Linked DNA regions of Rhinolophus ferrumequinum. Each later gene encodes a partner of the first gene's protein in a complex. Links are inferred from orthologs where the notes say so. Each region holds a gene or a part of one and is shown on either strand. Other genes may lie near its edges.

Region 1 (11,020 bases):
AATTTACCAAACTATTTTATTAAACAAAGGCAAGTTCAATATCCCCCTCCAACTCCCTGTCCGTAATACAAATAAGATAACATATTATTTTTATCTCACTTAACTTATAATAGCAAATCAATTGGAAATAAGTCAGGTAAGTTATACTATTAGTTGGTGCAAAAGTAATTGCGGTTTTTACAATGATTTTTAACTTTTTAAACCACAATTACTTTTGCACCAACCTAATACATCTATACTGTGTTTCCCCGAAAATAAGACCTAGCCAGATCATCAGCTCTAATGCGTCTTTTGGAGCAAAAATTAATGTAAGTCCCAGTCTTAATATAAGACACAGTATAATATAATATAATATGATATGATATAATATAAATAATATATATAATGTATATAATATATATAATACCAGGTCTTATATAATATCAGACCAGGTCTTATATTAATTTTTTTTTGCTCCAAAAGACGCATTAGAGCTGATGATCCAGCTAGGTCTTATTTTCGGGGAAACACGGTATAATGCAATGTTATATAGCAACTAAAGTAATATTTATAGATGGCTTAAAATTATTAGAGAGGAGAATGCTCATTTAAGTCTATGCAATTTAATTAAATATTAACATCAAAAAGGATTTAAGGTGGCAGGGCTTACACGGTTATGGTGAAAAAATGTCCAGAAAGATATAAATTAGAAGTATATAAATTAAATGGACACTCTTGTTTGCCTACCCAATAATACCATCTCCTCCCTTCCCGTTTTTTAACAGAAAAAACAGAACAGTAAGACACAATAATATTTAAAATACTATATGTTCATTTGTAGGGGTAATGAGACTTTTCAGATCTGTTGGGATTAACTAAAGAAAATTATAGTCAGAGGGGGAAAACAAAATTGAATGCTAAGTATAACTGTCATTATAATCCATAGGAAAAACACAAAAAGAGTAAAACCTTTGATATTGCCCTCATAGAGATACCTTCATTCATAGCACTGTGCCAGGTTTTCAGGTCTACATTGTTTTCCTAGATTTTTCTTTTAAAATTACTGATTTTCCTCACCCTCTCCCACCCCTTCCCTATCCATTCTCTTCCTCTTTCTGCTGTCCTCAATGTCCTGGAAGTCTGATCCCTAGGTAGTGCATGCCCAAGTCCCTTCCTGGTTGGTCAGACTTGGAAAGTACAAGAGTGAAAGAAGGTCTGGGAAGTTGGTATGTGGATGGACCTCTTGGAATAGTGAAAATATTTGTGTTTGTTATGAATGCCCTTCAAAGGGTATCCATTCTAGAAGAGGCTCAATAAATAAATAAATAAATAAATAAATAAATAAATAAATAAATAAATAAACAAACGACACAATGATCCAACCTGTGGATATCATTCAACTTCTTTCCCTAGCTCCTCAATGCTTGCTCAATGGGGTCATGAAAAGCCACAATGGCAGAAATGGAGGCTATGCATAGGTTCTACAGTATAGACTTCCTCTCACCATAGATGATCAGGCAATTGATGGATGTCCAACAGCAGAGACTAAGCCCCTTAAATGGTATTTTTTGGTGGGGGGAGAGGGTGCATGGCTAGACACTTCGTGGGGTAGGTTGATTGCACTGCAAATTAGTTAGCTATACTGCTCTGTAACAAGTTGTGGGAAGAAATGTTGGTGTTTCTAAGCAAATGAAACTGACAGCTTTGTTTGCAATGGTGCTTCGGGGTCGGGAGCAGATTTACTTACATTATAGGGTAATAAAGTATAACTCTCCAATCCTGAAGACATTTCAGGGTAATAAAAAGCATCTCTCCCTGGGTTGTAAGGCAGACTTGTTTCCTAACCAGAGTGCAGGTTTGCTAACATTCGTCTTTTAAGATTGAGAGTTCCCTAAGCTGAGTATTCTTCACTGGTGTTAGAGATCTATCATGTGCATGGCATTCACCTACCTCACTCCCATGGATCTAGGGGGACACGGAGAACCAATACAAACACAAAGTTCATGCCACCTGCTATGCTGTGAATAATAAACTGTCTAAATAAATGTGGGCTTGTTGTCTCCTTACCAGCTGAATCTATGGAAGTGTGGCAAGTCGACTTGGCAATTTAGGGACTGTCTGACCACACGACAATCCCCTGACCCCCAACCTCAATGCCTTAAGACTACAACAATTAATTATGTCTCATAAGCCTACAGATTGGGCAGTTCTTCTGGTCTTGGGATCACTCATGAATCTGTAGTCAGATGGTGGATCAGCTAGGGTAGGGCTGGTCCAAGATGGGCTTAACTGGATCAACTTGGCTTTGTTCCATGTGGTCACTCACACTCCAGCAGACTAGGTGGGATTTATTCTCATGGCAATGGTAGGGTTCCAAAATCAAGCAAAAAGCCGGGGGAATTGGTATGTGGATGAACCTTGAGGCCCAGGCTCAAACCTAGCACACTGTCACTTTTGCTACATTCTACTGGCCATGCACAAGGCCAGCCCAATTCAAAGGTGGGGATATAGATTCCATCTCTTAATAGAAGCCGCTTCAAAGCTACATTTCAAGGGGTATGCATACCGAGAGGGGGAGAGCTGGGGCCATTTTTGTAGTCATTCTACTACACGCCGGATCCTTTCCATCAGGGAGGGAGTAGTGACGTAACCTCACAGGAATAGATACAGATTCAGATTTGACTTTCCTACTGCTATTGACTGAATGTTTGTGTCTGCCCCCACCCCTACCAATTCCTGTGTTGAAACCCTAACCATCAATGTGATGGTATTAGGAGGTGGGGCCTTTGGGAGGTGATAGGTCATGAGAAGAGCCCTCATGAATGGGATTGGTGTCCTTATAAAAGAGACTCCAGAGAGCTCCCTTGCCTCTTCTCCTATGTGAGGACATGTGAGAAGACAGCTATCTATGAACCAGGAAATGAGTTCTCACCAGACACCGAATCTACCTGCACCTTGATCTTGGACTTCCTCGCCTCTAGGACTGTGAGAAATAAGTTTCTGTTGTTTATAAGCCCCTCTGTGGTATTCTGTTAGAGTAGCCTAATATCTCTATACGTGTCCAACTGGTTCTGTTTTCCGGGAGAACCCTAACTCATATACCTAACTGCAATGTTTCTGTCAGCCCTACCATTCATGGATACCTAATTCATTTTCATAGTATATCACACATTGCTTCTGACTAAGGAGCTTATTTTATGGTGGAAGAATTTTAGCAAAGAAACTCATTGGTCTTTCCAGGTACCCCATCACTCAGATGTAGTTACTGTAATGAAAACAGTGTCATGACCTTTTTCAGACTCAGTTATGGTGCTAGCCGAGAGACAACACATTATGAGTTTGGGGTGCTGCCTTACAGGTTTGTGATATGCCTTCTACCAACCGCTAATACACAGTAGTTTCTCTCAGTTAGAATACATGGGCCTGGGAACTAGGGGGTGGAGGTAGGAGTGCTTCTTGACACTTTTACACCTAATAACTCATTTATGAATTCTTGGGTTCAGTGTTAGGAGTACTTAGTCCCCAAGGGAGGAACAGTTCCATTAAAGAACACAGTCATTGTTCTAGTATATTGGAACATGCAATGAGACTGCCCCTGCTCATTTGGGGCACTTCTTGCTGAGCCAACAGGCAGACAAGGGGATACACTTCCAGTCTGAAAGACTGACCCTAATTTCCAAGGGGAAATTGAGTTGTTGTTATACAATAGAGACAGAGAAGACTCTATTTGAAGCCCAAGGTATTCACTGGGGCACCTCATTGTATTCTCATATGCAATAATGAAGGTCCAAGGAAAATGTCATCGATTCAATAAAGACAGTTTTTCATTTCAAAATTAAAGAATGTGATTTCATTACGAGAAAAGAAATCTTAACAAAATAACACAAATGTGACAAAAAAAATTAAAGAATGTGGACTACTTTAATTTCTATACCAGTCTGGCCTCCGCTTCTCAATTTTACTTCTATCACTCCTCCCTGATAGAAGTAAAATTGAGAAGCGGAGGCCAGACTGGTATAGAAACTAAAGTGCATACTAAAGTGCACTAAAGTGTAATACTTTAGTTTCTATACCAGTCTGGCCTCCGCTGTATGCTCCCTGTATGCACTTTACTCTCATTATGAACTGAATTTCCTTTGGTTTCTCCGAGTGCGTCAAACTTCCTCCTAGGCCTCATATCTATTACTAATAATAACAATGATAAACTTTGTGTCATTAATGCTTAGCTGCACATTTAACATCTCTGAAACCAGGACATGTTTTAAGATTGCTGTTGGCCAGGTTTTCATGTGTAGATTGTGTCACAGCACTCCATGTTATCATTGCTTCAGCTGAGCTCTGTGTATGAGATACAGCTACTGTATCTCAAAAAGATGACCTTGCAACTTGCATTAAGAGTTTTTATGTGCACAGGAAGCATAGACATAGGATAGACAGCAGTATGACATAGGATAGAAATTTCCATCTAAATAGGTTTAAAAGAGCTCTTTTTTCAGGGGTGCAAAAAAAATGTACACATTTTAAGAGATGTTATTTATTACTTTTTGAAGTTGAATTGAATTACGGTAGTAGTATGTAGTATGATGTTCGCTTAAAAGATAGCGTTAATCAAATGAATGCTAGCATCATTCACTGTATTACAATTTTAATACAGTTTTTTCCTTTCTTAAAATGTGTATACATTTCTTTGGCACCCTCTGTATAACAAGCCTAAGCAATAAGAAACCATTATTTTTAATTTCAGAATTTTTTTCTTAATGTGTTGTACAAAATAATGGTTTGTTTTACAATTCCTGGCAGCTTAGATTTGATAGAACGTGGTAATAATAATATTAATAATAATAATGGCTGGTAACGTTTATTGAAGGCACTGTTCGCTAAGCGCTTTTCACTTCACTCAGTACATTTATATAATGTACTATAATGTACGTATATATAATGTAATATAATGTACCGTAATCTCTGTGGTCTGAGAAAATTTACGACAGGCATACCTCCTTTCACAATAAAGTGTTTCACTTTATTGTGTTCCGCAAATACTGCATTTTTACAAATTGAAGACCCTCCATCAGCAAAAAGATTGACTCGCCTAAAGGCTCCAATGATGGTTAGCATTATTTTACCAATAATGTATTTATTAACTAAGGTATGCACATTGTGTTTTTAAAGACATAATGCTACTGCACACTTAATAGACTACAGTATAGTATAAACATAACTTTTATATATGTACTGGGAAACCAAAACTTCATGTAACTCGCTTTATTGCAATATTCACTTTATTGCAGTGGTTTGGAACCACACCTGCAGTACCTCTGAGATATGCCTGTATTTTGAAGCCAGATTAAAAATCCTTCCCTTTGTAAAACTTCCCTGAGACATCCTGAAGAAGTTAGGTCTGTTTGAACCACATTCCTCTTATCCAGCACACTTTGGCTGCCCACTAATTATCAGCTTGGGTGTCTCTCCCCAGTTAGGCTACAGCACCTTGAGGGTAAAGACCATCTTTTAATGCATTTTTGGGTCTTCTGTACCTACTACAGCCTGCTGCTTTTTCTCAGCATCCCACATTAACTCTTTTCAAAGATGAAACAATGAACAGCTCAAGTTTAATCTAGGATGTAAAACTGAGCTTGGATTTATTAACACTACAACAGGAACCACACTTTACAGTCTGCAAACTATTTGTGCATTATCTCATTCCACTGTCACTAAATTTGTCAGGTTAGGTGTTATCTGCCCATTTGTAGTTGAGGCTACTTATTTATTAAGTGCCAGTTGTAGTATGAAGCTTCGTTGTTTGACCCTTGGCCTGGGGATTCTTTCCACTCTACCTCAGCTATCAGAGGAGGGGTTTATTCCCTAAAGGATGGGTAGATTTTGAACAACTGGAGTGAGGGAGCAGGAAAAAACACCCCAGGACAGAGTAGGGGTGGAGCACTGATTGGCCAAAAGGAAAGCTCAGGCAAGCTACGAGCAGCAAACACTATACACAGCAAAGGATGATGAGAACGTCAGCTCGGCCTCTTTCCGTTACCTCCCGAGTCAAGATAGTTACGCAGCTCCGGGTTTTACCTGTAGCACTGGCTCAACCCCGCCTCCGCCCTTTACCTGGTACTTTGTCCCACCCTCCGCTCCGTTCCGCGCCAGTCTCTCGAACCCTGAGACCACCACCAAGCCTCCGAAAGCTCCCATTGGCTCGCCCACTCGTTGAGTCCCGCCTCCTCCTCCCGAGGCCCCGCCCCCTCCGCTACGCTCTCTTTTCCGTTCCACCGGCTCCCGAGGCGTAGGCGGCCAAATCCTGCCGTACCGCGACGGGGCAGTCGAGCAGCCGGAAGTGGCCACTCTTTCTCGGAATCCCACTGCCTTGTGGGACCGTGGCCGGTTCCTCCGGCCTGAGCTAGTTTTCCGGGTTCCTTCAGCCCGCCCCCTTCCCTTCACTCCCCCGCCTTCCTCGTCAAGTACGGAAGCTGAGAAGGTCCGCTGGCAGCCATGGCGGCGCACCTTAAGAAGCGGGTGTACGAGGAATTCACTAAGGTGGTTCAGGTAAGCTCGGGAAGGAAAGGTCCTGGGACCGATCCGGGCAGCGGAAGATTAAATACACGTCAGGCGCTTTGCTGGAACAAACTTGGGTTGAGCGCCTATTACTTTGATAGGCTCTCTGGGACTACACTTTAGTGGGCGTGTTCATTTGTCCCTATTCTTGTTATTATGATTAATATGTGCAGTCTTGATACTTTTTTTTAATTATTAGAAGAAACAAATAGCGCTTTACCATTTACGGAAATAACCGTTATTTTATTCAGGTTACATTAATATCCTCGTTTTACGGATGTGGATTTAGCTTCTGGAGGGGTCGAGGACAGAGAGCCAATTAGTGGCAGAGCCCCTCCCAATTCCTGTTGCACACACACACACACACACACACACACACACACACTTTCCCAGGGACAAGTTGGTTGTACTCAAAGCTCTCGGGATGGAAGAGGAGTCTGTAGAAATTCTTAAGACCCAGTCAAAGCAGGCGTGGGTCACAAGCTTCATTGGGGTAGAACTCTTCCATTGGTGGTGGGCAATACCTTCTTCCATTGGAGTTAAGGACCGGTGTGCCGAGCCCTTGACAGAGCACTCAGTGCTTCTCCATGTGTCTCCTTGTAGATGTCGCTAAAGTAGAAGTTGATCCTAAGTCATTCCATGTGTCGTGCTCCTTAGACTTATGTGTATACAAATCACCTGGGGAATCACATTAAAATATAGCTTGTACGCAGTAAGTCTGGCAGTGGAGGTGAGGCAATCTGCATTTCTGACAAGCCCCCAATTGATACTAGTTGATCAGCAGCATCCTTAGAGCCACAGACCACCCTTAATTCTTCTACTTGTAGAGTAGCAGGACTTAGACCATCCAGAAGGAACTGATCCTTAAACCTTTCATTCATTCCTTCAACAAGAGTTTATTGAGTGAATGAGTGGTTACTATGTATCAGGTATGATGAATACATTGAGCTACAGTGTCCAATACACGTGAGGGTCCTTCTTTAGGAGCTCACAGTCTAGTAAGAGAGAGAACAGCATATCATATATGTGATTCGTACTACAGAGAGATAATTGCACTGACAAATCAAGTCATCCTTCTACTTTTGCAGCTCCGTTTCCTAAAAACTCCCCAGCCAAACTCCCAGCCCTTCTTGATTTGACAGTATACCCTCCAGCTGTATCCCTTCCTTTCTTTTTTGTTTTGTGGACGCATCTTTGTAGCACATTCCCATTGTCTGTAGGGAAGTTAGTTTGCCTTATTCTTGTTTTTGCTTATAATAACTTTGAGATTTAACTTTGACACTTTTTTGTTGCCCTTTTTAATGTGAAATTAGTTTTCTGAATTTTTAGAATGAGTCAAGATTTAGGATAGCGTTTTCTAACTTCACAGAGCTCCCTCTTCTGTGGCTTGCTTTCTGGGATTTCCTGGCTTTGTTTCCCTTGACATCCTCCCCTTTTTTTTTAAATTGTTATAAAATATACATAAATAAAATTTACTGTTTTAACCAGTTCTGGTGTTAAGTACATTAACATTGTTGTGCAGTGTAATTTTTTTTGGAAACATTTTGTTGTTCCCACTTCTCAAGACTACTCATCCCTCCTCCAACATGCCATGTGTTTGTACCTCTCCAAACTTGTGTATCTATTGTCTCTTTTGCATAGAATGGATATCATTCTTCCCTTTCTTTTTTTTCTCCACCCAGTGGACTTATATTTTTGCTTCAAAAATATCAGTTGGGCTCAAGACCCAACTGAAACCTGAGCAAGAGTTTAGTCTCTTCCCTACTTCTACGGCACTCTGTTGTACTCATCTGTTTCTACTTATCACTCAGTACTACTACTGTGATTACCAGTATACGTATTTTCCCACTAGTCTGGGCTCTTTGAGGGCAGAGATAATGCCTGAGGGTTCATCCCTGTCACCCCTGGATAGACCATAGGGTCTGGCTCACTAAAATGTCATTGATGGTTGGTTGATTGCAGATGTTGGTTTGTCTGTCCTTTTACATACTCTCTAGGGAAAAAATCTTTCCCAGCTTTTGATCTAATTGCAGCCTGGATAAGACTGAAGACTGAATGTGTGGAATAGGATGGAAATGGGTAAATGGTTATTGAACCCAAATTCCTCTGACTTCAGAACTCCAGGTCTTTTTATCATGTCATATCATGTTGCTGTCTAGCATAATCCTAATCTCTTCTCGGTAGAAGGGTAAATTTGTAAGGAGGTAATTGCTTAGAATATGAAAATGATGTCAAGTGTTAAGGAAAATTATTGATTACAACATTTATCTTATGTTATGATCCCCTCTATACCTACCCACTAGGGCCTGACTTAAACCCCAGAGTGACAGGTTCCCTTTTACATGAACTTTTTGGGACTCATTATATGTAACAAATGCACCTAGAATGTTTCTAGTTCTGTACCACCCTTTGGGGATAGAGAAATAATTACTCAAATAATTTTATGTGTTCTGTGGTTCAGATGAGAATCCCTGGTTGAGAAAGGTAGGTGTCGTCATCCCCATTTTACAGATGATAATACTGAGAATCATGACTAACTTAGAACAGAGCAGCATTCCAAGTCAATCATTCAGTAAACATTTATTAAGTGGCTACAGTTTGCTAGGCCTACGGCAGTGTATTTTTTTCCTACACTGACCATCTTTTTAATAAAGGCAGAATGATTTGGGGGAAGCTAGTCATCTGGAGTGAGGGAAAGATTTTTTTCCTCAGTGTAAGCTGCAGACAGTTCCCATCAGTTCTGTTTTTCTCTGGAGGGAAGCTGAGCCTGGTGGGTGCCACAGCACAGCCTGAATACATTTGTAGAATTGGTATTTCTAGCAAAGAATGGAGCTGATTCTTTGTGTGTGTGGCCTCTTAACCCTAAAGCTACAACAATTCTAAGAGATAGGCAGAACAAAATGTTAATGGACCTACTTTACAAAGAAAGAAAATGAGACCTGGAGATATTAAATGACTTGTCCAAAGTCATGGGAGCTAGTGAAAAGCAAACTTGGGACTCGTAGCCTTGTCTCCAATCCAGTGCTCTTTGTCCAGTTCATAGCGCTGCTTTTTCCTAAGACTAGGTCTATTGCCTAAATACGTTATTTGGTGTAAAGGAACACTGTTTCCATCAAATGAGATAAAGTTAAATGGGCAGACTCTCTGTTTTCCGTTAGGTTTTCATGCCTTATCTTCTTTATCCCCTTGCAGCAACAACAGGAGGAAATTACTGCTAAGAAACTCCGACTGACAAAACCAAGTAAATCTGCAGCTCTCCATATAGATCTGTGTAAAGCTACGTCCCCAGCAGACGCTTTGCAGTACCTACTTCAGTTTGCCAGGAAGCCTGTTGAGGCAGAAAGTGTGGAGGGAGTAGTCAGGATTCTCTTGGAACATTATTACAAGGTAAGAAGGTCTTGAGGACCTGGTGGGAGTATGTGTAAGTTGTACCATATCTGCAGAATGGGTTCATATTGCAAAATAAGGAAGATGTTCATGCAGCAGTCTTTTACTGGGTGTCTCCTGTGTGCTAGGGACTGTGGATACAGAGATACAAAAAGACCCAAATCCTGTCCTCAGAAGCTTGTAGTGCCCAGATGGAGACAGATACAAACAATAAGATGATATGAACGGTTGTGTTGCTGAAGATACTGTGACTACAGTATGTACAGTGGGAGCAAAAAGGAGGAGTAAACTTCAATCATGACCTTTCTTTCATCAAATTTGTCTCTGGAATGTAGTGCTGTCAACCTGCTGTTACTGCCCTAATTCAAGGCCCTAATATGTAACTGCAATAGCCAACCCCACCCTTTTTTAATCAGCTAAGTGGCATTTTATTTCTCCATGTATTTTTAATGGGTTAGAAAAACATCATGCATGATTCAGTATAGGCAATAGTTTAAACAGAAAATGAAATTCACAAAATGTGTTTATTTTTTTGTTTTTTATATAAAGTGAGATCTGAAGTAAAAGAATAAATGATTTTCAAATATTTGAATCACAGATGAATGAAAATTTTACATTTTAGTATGAAAATTATTAAGCTTCTAAAAGAGTAGAGACAATACTATAATGAACTGCCAGATACCCAGCTCTGTGATTAAAGTTATTAATCTTTTGCCAAATTGGCTTCCTCTGTTTTTTAACGTATAATATTTTTCTTTAAATAGTTCAGTAAATATCTCTAAAAAAAGGATATTTTTTTTAAAACATAACCACCTAACTACAGCAAATAAAACTAAATCCTTAATGTCATCTAACAGTTAGTCTGTATTCAAATTTCTCTCGTTCCCCAAATATCTTTTTAGAGTTGATTTGTTCAAATCAAAATGCAAACAGTGCCCATACATGGCATTTGCTCTTTTTAAAATCTAGAACAATTTTTTGTTTCTGGTGACATTGACCTGTTGAAGAAACTTGGTCAGTTGTTTTGTAAAATGTCTTGTTTTCTGACTTTGTTTATTTTCTTGGGGGTGAACTTGCACCTCTATCCCCGTATTTACTA
Region 2 (10,128 bases), on another chromosome or scaffold:
ATTTCCCTTTTCCCTTAAATTATCCTATATACATTCAATTCACTTCATTGCAAAATCTCTGTCCTTCTACATCATGATTATTTTTACCCCCAAAACATTGAAAGTAATTACAAGCAGTGGTTTCATTCAGCAGCTTTGAAAAACATTCTGATCATAAAGAATTTGAAATTAAAATATATTGTAAACAAGTGGGTTTCTATACACATAAAGTGGTACAGAATATCTCCCACACTCTGCTAACTATGTAGTGTAACAGTTCTCTAAAAGCTTGACGTAAGAAAATTAAAGAATATAGTTTCTTCATGCCACAGAAAAGATTATTTTGGCAGAGAGGCTGTTTTGAGATGGTCTAAATGTTAACACTGTATTACTACAGGCCTTACAAAATTCCCTCCAAGTTTTTTACTCATGTAGATACCTTTTGAGATGGACGGTAACTTGAATCAATGCCCCGAGCCAAAGATTCATCAAGTAACGCTTTTAGCTTTTCAGCAGAATCCTTACTCTTTGAATGTAAGAAGCCTAGTGCTTTCAAAAAAATGGGATCGAGTTCCAAGTTTACAGTAGCAGCCATTGCAAACACCTGAAGGAAAAAAAAAGGGGTAATTTAGAGACAAAGAGCAAAGTTTGGCTGTATTTTGTTTATAACAAATAGTGCTGTGCACAGGATACAAAATTCAAAATATCCAAATGGTTATTACAGATAAATTTACTTCCTATCACTGACAGGCATTACCTCGCTCTTTTCCCCTGAAGCAAGAGTGCTTTCAGTTTTCTGTACATCCAAATCCAAGTCTTAAGTCCAGGTAAGTTCCTCCCTACCACAGAGCCTCCTCCTAACTCCATTTTAAAATACACACTTACAGTTTAGTACCCATGAACTTGATGTGCTTAGGTCAAGTTTACTATATATTAAAATGTCTTCTCTCAAAATTATTTCCACGGCAGAAAAAAGATGATTTAGTGTGGGCGATAGGGTATCACAGGAGGGCAATGGTTAGAGGATGCACTAGTGATGAGCCGTAGAAAAGATTTCAGGTGCACAATTCTGTAATATATCATCTATATCTCACATTGCGTGCTCACCACCCAGAGTCAGTTCTCTTTCCATCACCATATATTAGACCCCATTTACCCTCTTCTAGAGCCCCACTCCCCCCTCCCTCCTTACCCTCTGGTAACCCCTAAACTATTGTCTACGTCTATGAATTTTTGTTCTTTCAGTTGTTTGTTGGGTTCCTTTGTTGTTTTCGGTTTATATCCCACATATCAGTGAAATCATATGCTTTTTAAATTTTTCTGTCTGACTTATTTCACTTAGCATTATAATCTCAAGATCCATCCATATTGTCACAAATGGTCCTATTTCATCGTTTCTTACCACCGAATAGTATTCCTCCATGTATATATACCACAACTTCTTTATCCATTCATCTATCGAAGGACATTTTGGTTGTTTCCATGTCTTGGCCACCGTAAATAAAGCTGCAATGAACACTGGAGCACATATGTCTTTATGGATAAATGTTTTCAGATTTTTTGGGTATACCCAGGAGAGGGATTGCCAACAACTCAATATAAACTTTTCACATTGTTACATCATTTTACATAACTTTCTGCCAAGCTCTCTCTACTGGGTGATGGTCTTTTATGTTTACTGTGTGTTTACTTTCTCACAGAATACTCCATTACAATAGAAAGTTTGTTTTTTTGTTCACTGATGCTTTCTCAGTACGCACGTTAATGACACAGACTGGGCATTCATAAAGATGTATGGAGTGAAGGAATTCCCACGTATAATTCCCTTATACTTAGACAATGCGGAAAATTAGTCAAGTTCATAAAAGCAATAAAAATAAATAAAAATAAAAAAATATTTTCACTTCTCACTATCCAAAGGTTAAAGAACAAGATTTTTAACAAGGTCTCTAATGCCCTACATGATCTGGTAATACATGTAAAGCAGTTACAACAGTTCCTGGCACAGAGTATATACTCATTAAATGTTACCTAGTGTTTCGCGCTATTCCCACTCTCTTTGTTGTAGCTGCATGAAATTATTTCAAGTCTTTCAACATATCTTTCTTACCTCAGCATTTTAGTAGAAAATGTCCCATTCCTCATCTTATTCATTCTTCAAGTCTCATTTTCTTTCTGCACATATTCTTACTATTATATGGTCCCAAAACATCCTTATTTGTAACACACTTATTTGTAATAGTTACTGCACTGTTAACTAAGTAAACAGTATCTGTCTTTCTCACTAGAATGTACATTTCTAGAATGAGGGCCAGCAATGGATTGGTCTTACTTACTGCTGTGACCATGTGTCTAGCACCGTGCCTGGCAGATAGTACGTACTATATAAATGTCCGCCAAGTGAATACATGTTATCTACTTCCCTTTTCTAAGAACCTTCTCCTCCTTAAGTTCTATCACATTCAGCTTTTCTGTTTTTCCTCATATCTCTGACTATCGTTTCTTTGGCTCATCTTCTCATCACTGTTGTTCTTGGTATTGCTCAAGTATCTGCCCTTGTCTATCGTCATTAGTTGTGGTGCCAATTTCTTCCCAGGTAATCTGATGTATATCACGTTTTCAACTATCATCTCTAGGCAGATAGTTTCACGTTTATCCCCACTCTCATCTCTCTTAAACTCGAATCCCACATACTTGCTTAATAGACACATCGGCCTGATTGCCCTAATAGTATCTCAAGTTAAATTATGACTAAAATTGAGATTATGAATATCTTCCCCAAAAGTTCCCTGTCCTATAACTTTTTTAAAATAAATGACACAACTCTCTATTAGTCAGGTCTAGAGCCGACATCTATCCCTCACTGAGTCCTCCTCTATTCCTTATATACAAACTATCAGCAGGCCTTTCCTGTGAATTGTGGCTCTGGAACATTGCTCACATTTACACCGTTTTTCACCTCTACTGCTACTATTCAAGTTGAGATCTTTGTGAGCTTTTTCATACTATAGCAATAATCTATTTTAACACTGTTGACTGGAACACCATTGCCATATTAATGCTCCTGTAACACATTTTTCTTTTCCTTTTTAAATGTTCTTCCTCAAAAATTAAGGCTTCCCACTGCCTTCAAAATAAAGCCCAATCTCTCGGCCTGGATTTTAAGAAGATTCATCAACTGGCACAAAAATTGTAATTCTTCATCTTGATTTTCCTCACAGCAGAGCCATTAGCTGGCTTTGCCCCGTCTACTTATTTATTTTTTTCTCTGTCTGAGAAGCTTTTTAAACCATTTTTTAGATTTCCAACTCCGATCAAGGCCTAGTTCAAACATTACTTCTCAGGAGGATTCTACTCACAGCTGGTATGTCCTTTCCCACCCCAAATACTACTAATAATCTTTTCCTCCTAGGATGTCTTGTAGTGCTTTCTCAAGGTACTGGGGACTTTCTACCTTGAACCATACATATTTTTTTTATTTTTATTTTGCACAAGTATTATATACCCTATAAAAGTCTTAAGTATTTTATGGGCAGGGTCTATATTTATCTTTTTGCCTATCACTATGTTACTTTGCAAAGAACCACAAAATAATGGCTATAAAATTATTAAGCAATCAAAGTATAATGGCCTTTTCTCTTCTACATAATTTTAACCACTTCCAAAGCCCTTTCACAAAAAGCAACAGAAAAGCAATTCAAATCTATCATTGCCCCACCTTCCATCCCACCCCCAAATCCCTAAACATAAAAAAAAAAAAAAAAAAAGGAAACCGAAAACAGGTCTTTCATGACCAGGGACCTGTACAATGTTCCTATCTGCAAAGCATGCTTCCCAATCCTTCATCTGGTTAAAATTCATTAATCCCACTGAATTGTAAACTCCATGAGAGCAGGGGCTTTTTTTTTTTTTAAATTCACAGGTATATACCTAGAGTTTGGAACTGGATGGGTATTCAAACATATTTATTGAGGTTTTTGTTGAAATAACACTTTCTAGGGCTTTTGAGATTCTCCAACCTAAATTGGGTCTTCATATATAAATATATGCTTTCCCCTAGATCCTGTTTTCCACCCTACGTGCCAATCTTAAAAGAAGCCCAAAGTTGATCATCTGCATGTGCAGGACATGAAGGAAATATTGCACGCAGAGTGCAATATTAGGGCTGTCACCTCATAACGGCTCTAGTAAGCTTTGCCTTTTATGTCTTTGCAAGCTCTTGCAATGCTTTCTAATAAGCATCCTTTTAAAGATGCTGCTCTTTTCATTCCTCCACTTAGATGTTGGCCTGGGCTATATTGATACCCTAGGGACTCGTCTGGAAACGCAGGGGAGGCAGAAGGACCCCGATTCTAAAACAACGAAATGTCAGAGAACCTGAAAAGCGACAGCAGACTAAGCAGACAGCGACTAAGAAAAGGAATTCCCATCCTTTGATCAAAGCCTGACACACCGTAGGCCTAGCACGGGGGATGCTCCTTGAGAGGGAGCCCGAGAGAAGCTGAGACAGGAAAGAGCGAGCTGTACAGAGAAGTCGCCAAAACCTTCTCAGGAAGGTCCGAGACAGGGATCTCAGGACCTAGCCCCTGGGACTGTGTCCTCCGTCCGAGTGCCCCAGCTCGCAACACCCTCGGAGGACGCAGAGACCTCAATGAAAGGGAAGAGCGGTCAGCCTGGGGCGCGGGATCGCCCGCAAATTACGAGGTTTCCCCATAAGGGCTGAGGAAACTAAGACCCCACGGAACTATTCTCCCACCACATCCCTCGCGGAGGTCTCGAGCCTCCCAGAGGCGGCTGGGAGGAGGGTCGCTCGTCACAACTCACCGCTCCGCCCCGCTACTCCGTAGGTTCCCGTAGCCCCTTCCGAACCGGTCCCGGCACCAGTCCGCTCTGAGAGGTTCCCGCAGCAGAGTCGTGGGGGAAAACTTTCTCTGCGCCACGGTCGGAAGTGACGTAACCCCCTCTGCTTCCGGTCCGCCGGATTATGAATGACGGCCGGCGCGGCTCTTTCTCGGACGAGTTGTCTGTTGTTTCTCTGCCAGTCTGGTAGCCAGTGGTCCGCTGGCGAAGACTCCAGAAGCGGCCTCGGAATCCGGGCTCTAGCGGGACGGGAAGGCGCGGGCGGCCCGTGTCGCCGATGCGAACACGCACCCTCACCCTCCCTGCTTGGCCGCGTCTCTGCGACCAGGTAAAGAGGGCGCTGGGGCCGCCGGCTCCACAGTCCCCGCAACCCCCAAGGCTACTCTTTGCATCCAGGGGAAACAGGACTGACGATGCAGGGATAGGACAGAGGCGTGGAATTAGGGTCCTGATCTCTCTCCGGCCCCTCTTTGGCCACAGCTTCTGAGGGTGCAGGTAGAGGGCCCGGGGCCCCTTAGTTTCCCAGGGCCAATCCCCAGTGGCTTCCTCTGCTGATGGGGGCAACGGAGCAGCTTCTAGTTGTAGGAGTAAGTGGGGGATCGTTTGCGGTTTGCTGCTAAGACCTCTTGGATCACGCTTTAACTTTTTCGTTTTCTTTTTGGCACTTAGTTTTCCATTTCAGCCCTTCCTGATTAGAGAAAGCAGTTCTATGTGCATACAGTTTTAACAGTTGCTCCAAAGGACTTGCTTCAGTTTGGGCTATTTGCTTCTGTCGCACCATCAGTGAGTGTTTCACTTCGGTTTTCAACTTCTGTAGAAAGTTTGAGTTTAACTTGCATTAGAATTGCTTTGGGTTCAGAAACGTTTACTAATACACGTACTTTCCATCCCAGCTCTATACCTGGTTTTGGGATTAGATGACATTTTTTTTTCTCTTATTCTTAATGCCAGGATCTCTTAATGCCAAGATCCCATTCCCTGTCGTAAGTTCTTGAATGTCAAGGAAATGCCAGCAGTTAATAGGAATATATCTTGTGCTAAATTATTGATAAAGAAGGTAGAGTACTACTTTTGTGAGCTTATCTATAGAAAGTATTTAAAGGAGAAAATGCAAAAGCTGGCAAGAACTACTGATGTGACCATTTTAAACGTGTAAACATGATCATTTAAATATTGTAAAAATAAATTGTTATAAATACAATGGAGTGATTTTCTGTCATATTTAATAAATCAAAACATTAAACTATGCGAGTTTTTTTTTTTAACTTCTTGGTGGGGAATATACACTACTGAGGATTGCCTTAGGCGTACTCATCATTTGAAATTGTGTTTGAGTTATACCTGAAGGCATCATTTTAATAGGTCTCACTTAAAAAATAAGTTTGTGAAAAAATCAGTGAGATTTGAGAACCTTTTTAGCAATTCTTTTGTTATTCGTTTTACACTTTTACTACTTGTTTCCCTCCTTTAAACAAAGCTCAAACTTCTGTAGTGAGCCTATCAAGATTTTTTTTAAACCTGTGTTTACTTTGTAGCTTTTGTATCACCTGTGATTTGAAATAATAAATACTGAGTATCTGCTTGGCCTTTCAAACAGCAACAATTTAGCAGACCTTGAAACTTAAATTCTGACGCCAGTCAACTGAAATATCCGTGTTACACACAGTTCTTTAGTGTATGTTGTTTTTATCTTCAAGTATTCAAAGTAGCTTACTGAATTTTGTTATAATTAGTACATGAAATGCAATGATTTAAACCACTTAACATCATAACAAGCACAGGTATTGTTTGCTGTGGGGATTCAGTAATTTTATTTCAGGCTTGCTGATGTTTCTAACATGTTAGCACTTCATTTTGTGAATCCCTGTTAATTATGAGGTCAGGCTTAGCTACGAGCATTATGATTCTAGGGCAACAGATGAATCCCTGATTCTCCAGAGAGAAGATGAGACACTTCTCTTATGACTAAGGTTACAGTAAGCTTTTTACTTTTAAGCATTTTTCCCACTACTTGCCCAGATAAGAAAACAGCTAATTTTAATTATAGTAATGTAATGAGCACAGAAATACCTCAGTTCTTTTTCTCTTTGCTTTGTTAACTGTCAGTATTAAAGTAGTTAGCTGCTGTCTAACTCTGTAGGGGCAGGGTATTTTTGTGTCTTTTTTTTTTTTTTTAATCTTTATTGTAAGAAAATAGAGTGAGCTTTGCTACCAAATAGTGTTATTTTGTGAAATGTATAAAACACAAGCTAAGTTCTAATATCCATAATGTTGAGCATTTGATATAGTAGGGAACTTAAATGGGTTTAAATTTAAGTTCTAATCTCTAAGAAAAATAAGAGTCTATAATTTTTCCTTACCTGTAAACTGTTCAGCTATTTATTTTGTACAATATAAGCAGTTGATATGCATGCGAACTTAGGGATTCACATTTATTTCTACCATTTTGTGTCTCCCTGGATTTCAGCCTCAGTAACAGATTTTTTTTCAGTGTTTGGGGGGAATATCTTTTCCATTCAACATGAACTCGTTACCTTTCCAGAAAAGAAGTTTGGCAATATAAAGCATAATTTGGGGCTTCCCATCAAAATTTGTGCATTTTAAGAGTGCCAATGGATAGGGAATTTGGGGATACATTATAAATGAATGATAATAATAGCAAATTTTTATTTAGGGGCTTATGAATGTAATAGGCATTGTTCTGTTCTTATAGCACACTACATGGTAAATACTGTTATTATTGTCCCCATTTTATAAATGGGAAACTAAGGCACAGAAAAGTTTTCTATTGCTACAAAATCTCAGGACCAGGATTTGAATGTGGATAGTTAGCTCCAGAGTCTAGGCTCTTATTCGCTACTTTATAATTCTTGGTATATTAATATTCTACTTGCTAAGTAAGTATACAGAATCTAGTTAGATTCCTAGTTCTCTTGTGTGAATATCGATATACATAAAAACATCTATGCTTGCTTTACTTACCTGTTTCGATGGGATTCTATTTATTCTTTTTCCAGTTCAGCTCACAGAAGTGATCTCTTTTCTTCATTTTAATTTACACATAGATGGCTCTTAAAATAGATTTATTCATCTGGAAGAGAAAGAATGGTTTCAAGAAGATTGGGGTTCATGTACCAAGACTACAGTTCTCAATGGTACTCTCATTACAGTGATTACTGATACTCATTTATGTACATTCAGTTATTTATTCATTGGGGATGTAATGTCAGGTAATAAGTGCCAAAAAGTAAAAGAAGCAGGATAAGGGGCCAGTGACTGATGGGAGTGCTTTTTCAATTCAGGTTGTCAGGAGAGGCTGCTCTGAGTTAATATTCAGAGACCTCAATGAATGAAGGAGCAAACCATGTGAATATCTTGAAGAAGAACATTCTATGCAGAGGGGACAGCAAGTACAAAAATTCTCAAGTGGAAGTATCCCTGGCATCTTCCAAGAACAGCAAAAGAACTGGCTGGAGAGGAGTGAGCAAGAGGCAGGAGGGGTAGGAGGTCAGAAAAGAAGACAGCTGGGGTCACGTTACGTCTCATAGGCCATAATAGGAAATTTTGATTTTCTCCTACGGTATGTGTGCTGGGAGCCATTGGATGGTTGTGAACAGGGGGTATGATCTGATTTATGTTTTTAAAGGATCACCCTGACTTGTTGAAGCATTGACTGTTGTGTGAAGGGTGGAGGAAAATAGTTAATAGGCTTTTGCAGTGGTCTTTGTAAGAGCTGATGATGACTTAGGTTAAGGTGAAGGTGATAGTCATAGAGATGCCAAGATGTTGGATTTAGCATATATTTCAAAGTTAGAAATAGGTTATGAGAGAGAAGAAAAGACTTCGGAGTTACAGGCCTGAGCATCTGACTGTGTGGTGTTGCCATTTTGCCAAAAAGTGGACTATAAAGGGAAGAGGAACGGGTTTAGAAAAATGTCCACATTGAGATGTCAAGTATGATACAGAATTCAGAAGTTCTGGAGAAAGGACGTGGAAGAGATAAATGTAAGAATCATAGATGATATTTAAACCTATGGCACTAGAGATCACTTAGAACAAAGCTATTATATTGTTGAGTTGTTGGGTCATGAAATCAACTTAGTGAGTATTAACTAGTATTAAAAACAAGAAGAAAGAAAAAGCAACAAGTGAACAATATTGGATATATCCCATGCAGTGGGGTTGTTTTTTTTTTTTATATTTCTTTCATTTTTGTTTTATTCAATATATAATGAGTTGCATTATAAAACATTTTTTATTGTGTGGCATGATCAAAATTTTGAAAGCCAGTGCTCAAAGGAGTGAATGTAGATGGAGAATAGGGTCAAGCAATGAGCCAAGGGTCACTAAGAGGTCCGAGAAGGATCCAGTAATGGAAAACAGAAAGGAACTCTCAAAGCACTTCATCCAATGCTGAGATGGTCAAATACCCCTGCCTTTAGAACAGAGGTTTTTATCAAGGATTACTAGGACCAGCACAATTGCTTAGAAGACCATAATTTCTGATGATTTTCACTTTGGTGAAATTGTGTGTTATGTGCTATTGAGTCAGCTCTGACTCCTGGTGACCCTATGAATGAGTGACATCCATCATGTCCTGTCCAACAGCACCACTCAGCTCCTGGAGACTCAGGCCTATGGCTTCTTTTATAGAGTCAATCCCTATTATATTTGGTCTTCCTCTTTTCCTGCTGCCTTCTACTTTCCCGAGCGTTATTATCTTTTCCAAAGAACTGTGTCTAATGCAGGGCCGCTTCAGTTTTACCACTTTTACCTCCAGAGATGTTTCAAGCTTAATTTGCTCTAGGACCCACCTGTTCATCTTCCTGGCAGTCCTGGGTATCTGTGGAGCTCTCCTCCAACACCATATTTCCAATGAATCCTCCCCTCGCCCCCATCCACCTTCTTTACTGTCCAACTTTCACATCTGTACATTGTAATTGAGAATAACACGATGTGGGTGATCTTACTTAGTCTTGGTCTCTAATGACTCATCTTTGCTCTTCGAGATCTTTTGTAATTCTTCCATTGCTGTCTTTCCAAGTCTCAGCCTTCTCTTGACTTTTATTTTTTAAGATTTGTATTAAAATATAGCTAACCTACAATATTATCTTAATTTTAAGGATACACAATAGTTATTCGACATTTATATACCTAAAGCCCTGACCACCAAAATCCAGCAGCCATATGACATTGTATCACACTATCAAAATATTACTGACTATATTCCCTATGCTGTACATTACATCCCCATGACTTATTTGTTTTATACCTGGAAATTTGAACCTC

The links. The genes of interacting proteins can lie anywhere in the genome.
Region 2: INTS4 (region 1) and INTS12 share a complex: the UniProt entries of both Homo sapiens proteins name them as parts of the integrator complex. The link is inferred for Rhinolophus ferrumequinum from reciprocal best matches to the Homo sapiens genes INTS4 and INTS12.

The regions. Positions count from the first base shown.
Region 1 is NC_046294.1:52,163,929-52,174,948, reverse strand, and holds the start of INTS4 (integrator complex subunit 4), read left to right. Parts: upstream 1-6,238; 5' UTR 6,239-6,471; coding exon 6,472-6,525; intron 6,526-9,726; coding exon 9,727-9,921; intron 9,922-11,020. UniProt on the Homo sapiens protein: Component of the integrator complex, a multiprotein complex that terminates RNA polymerase II (Pol II) transcription in the promoter-proximal region of genes.
Region 2 is NC_046288.1:55,684,331-55,694,458, forward strand, and holds the start of INTS12 (integrator complex subunit 12), read right to left. Parts: upstream 4,917-10,128; 5' UTR 4,804-4,916; intron 584-4,803; 5' UTR 575-583; coding exon 419-574; intron 1-418. UniProt on the Homo sapiens protein: Component of the integrator complex, a multiprotein complex that terminates RNA polymerase II (Pol II) transcription in the promoter-proximal region of genes.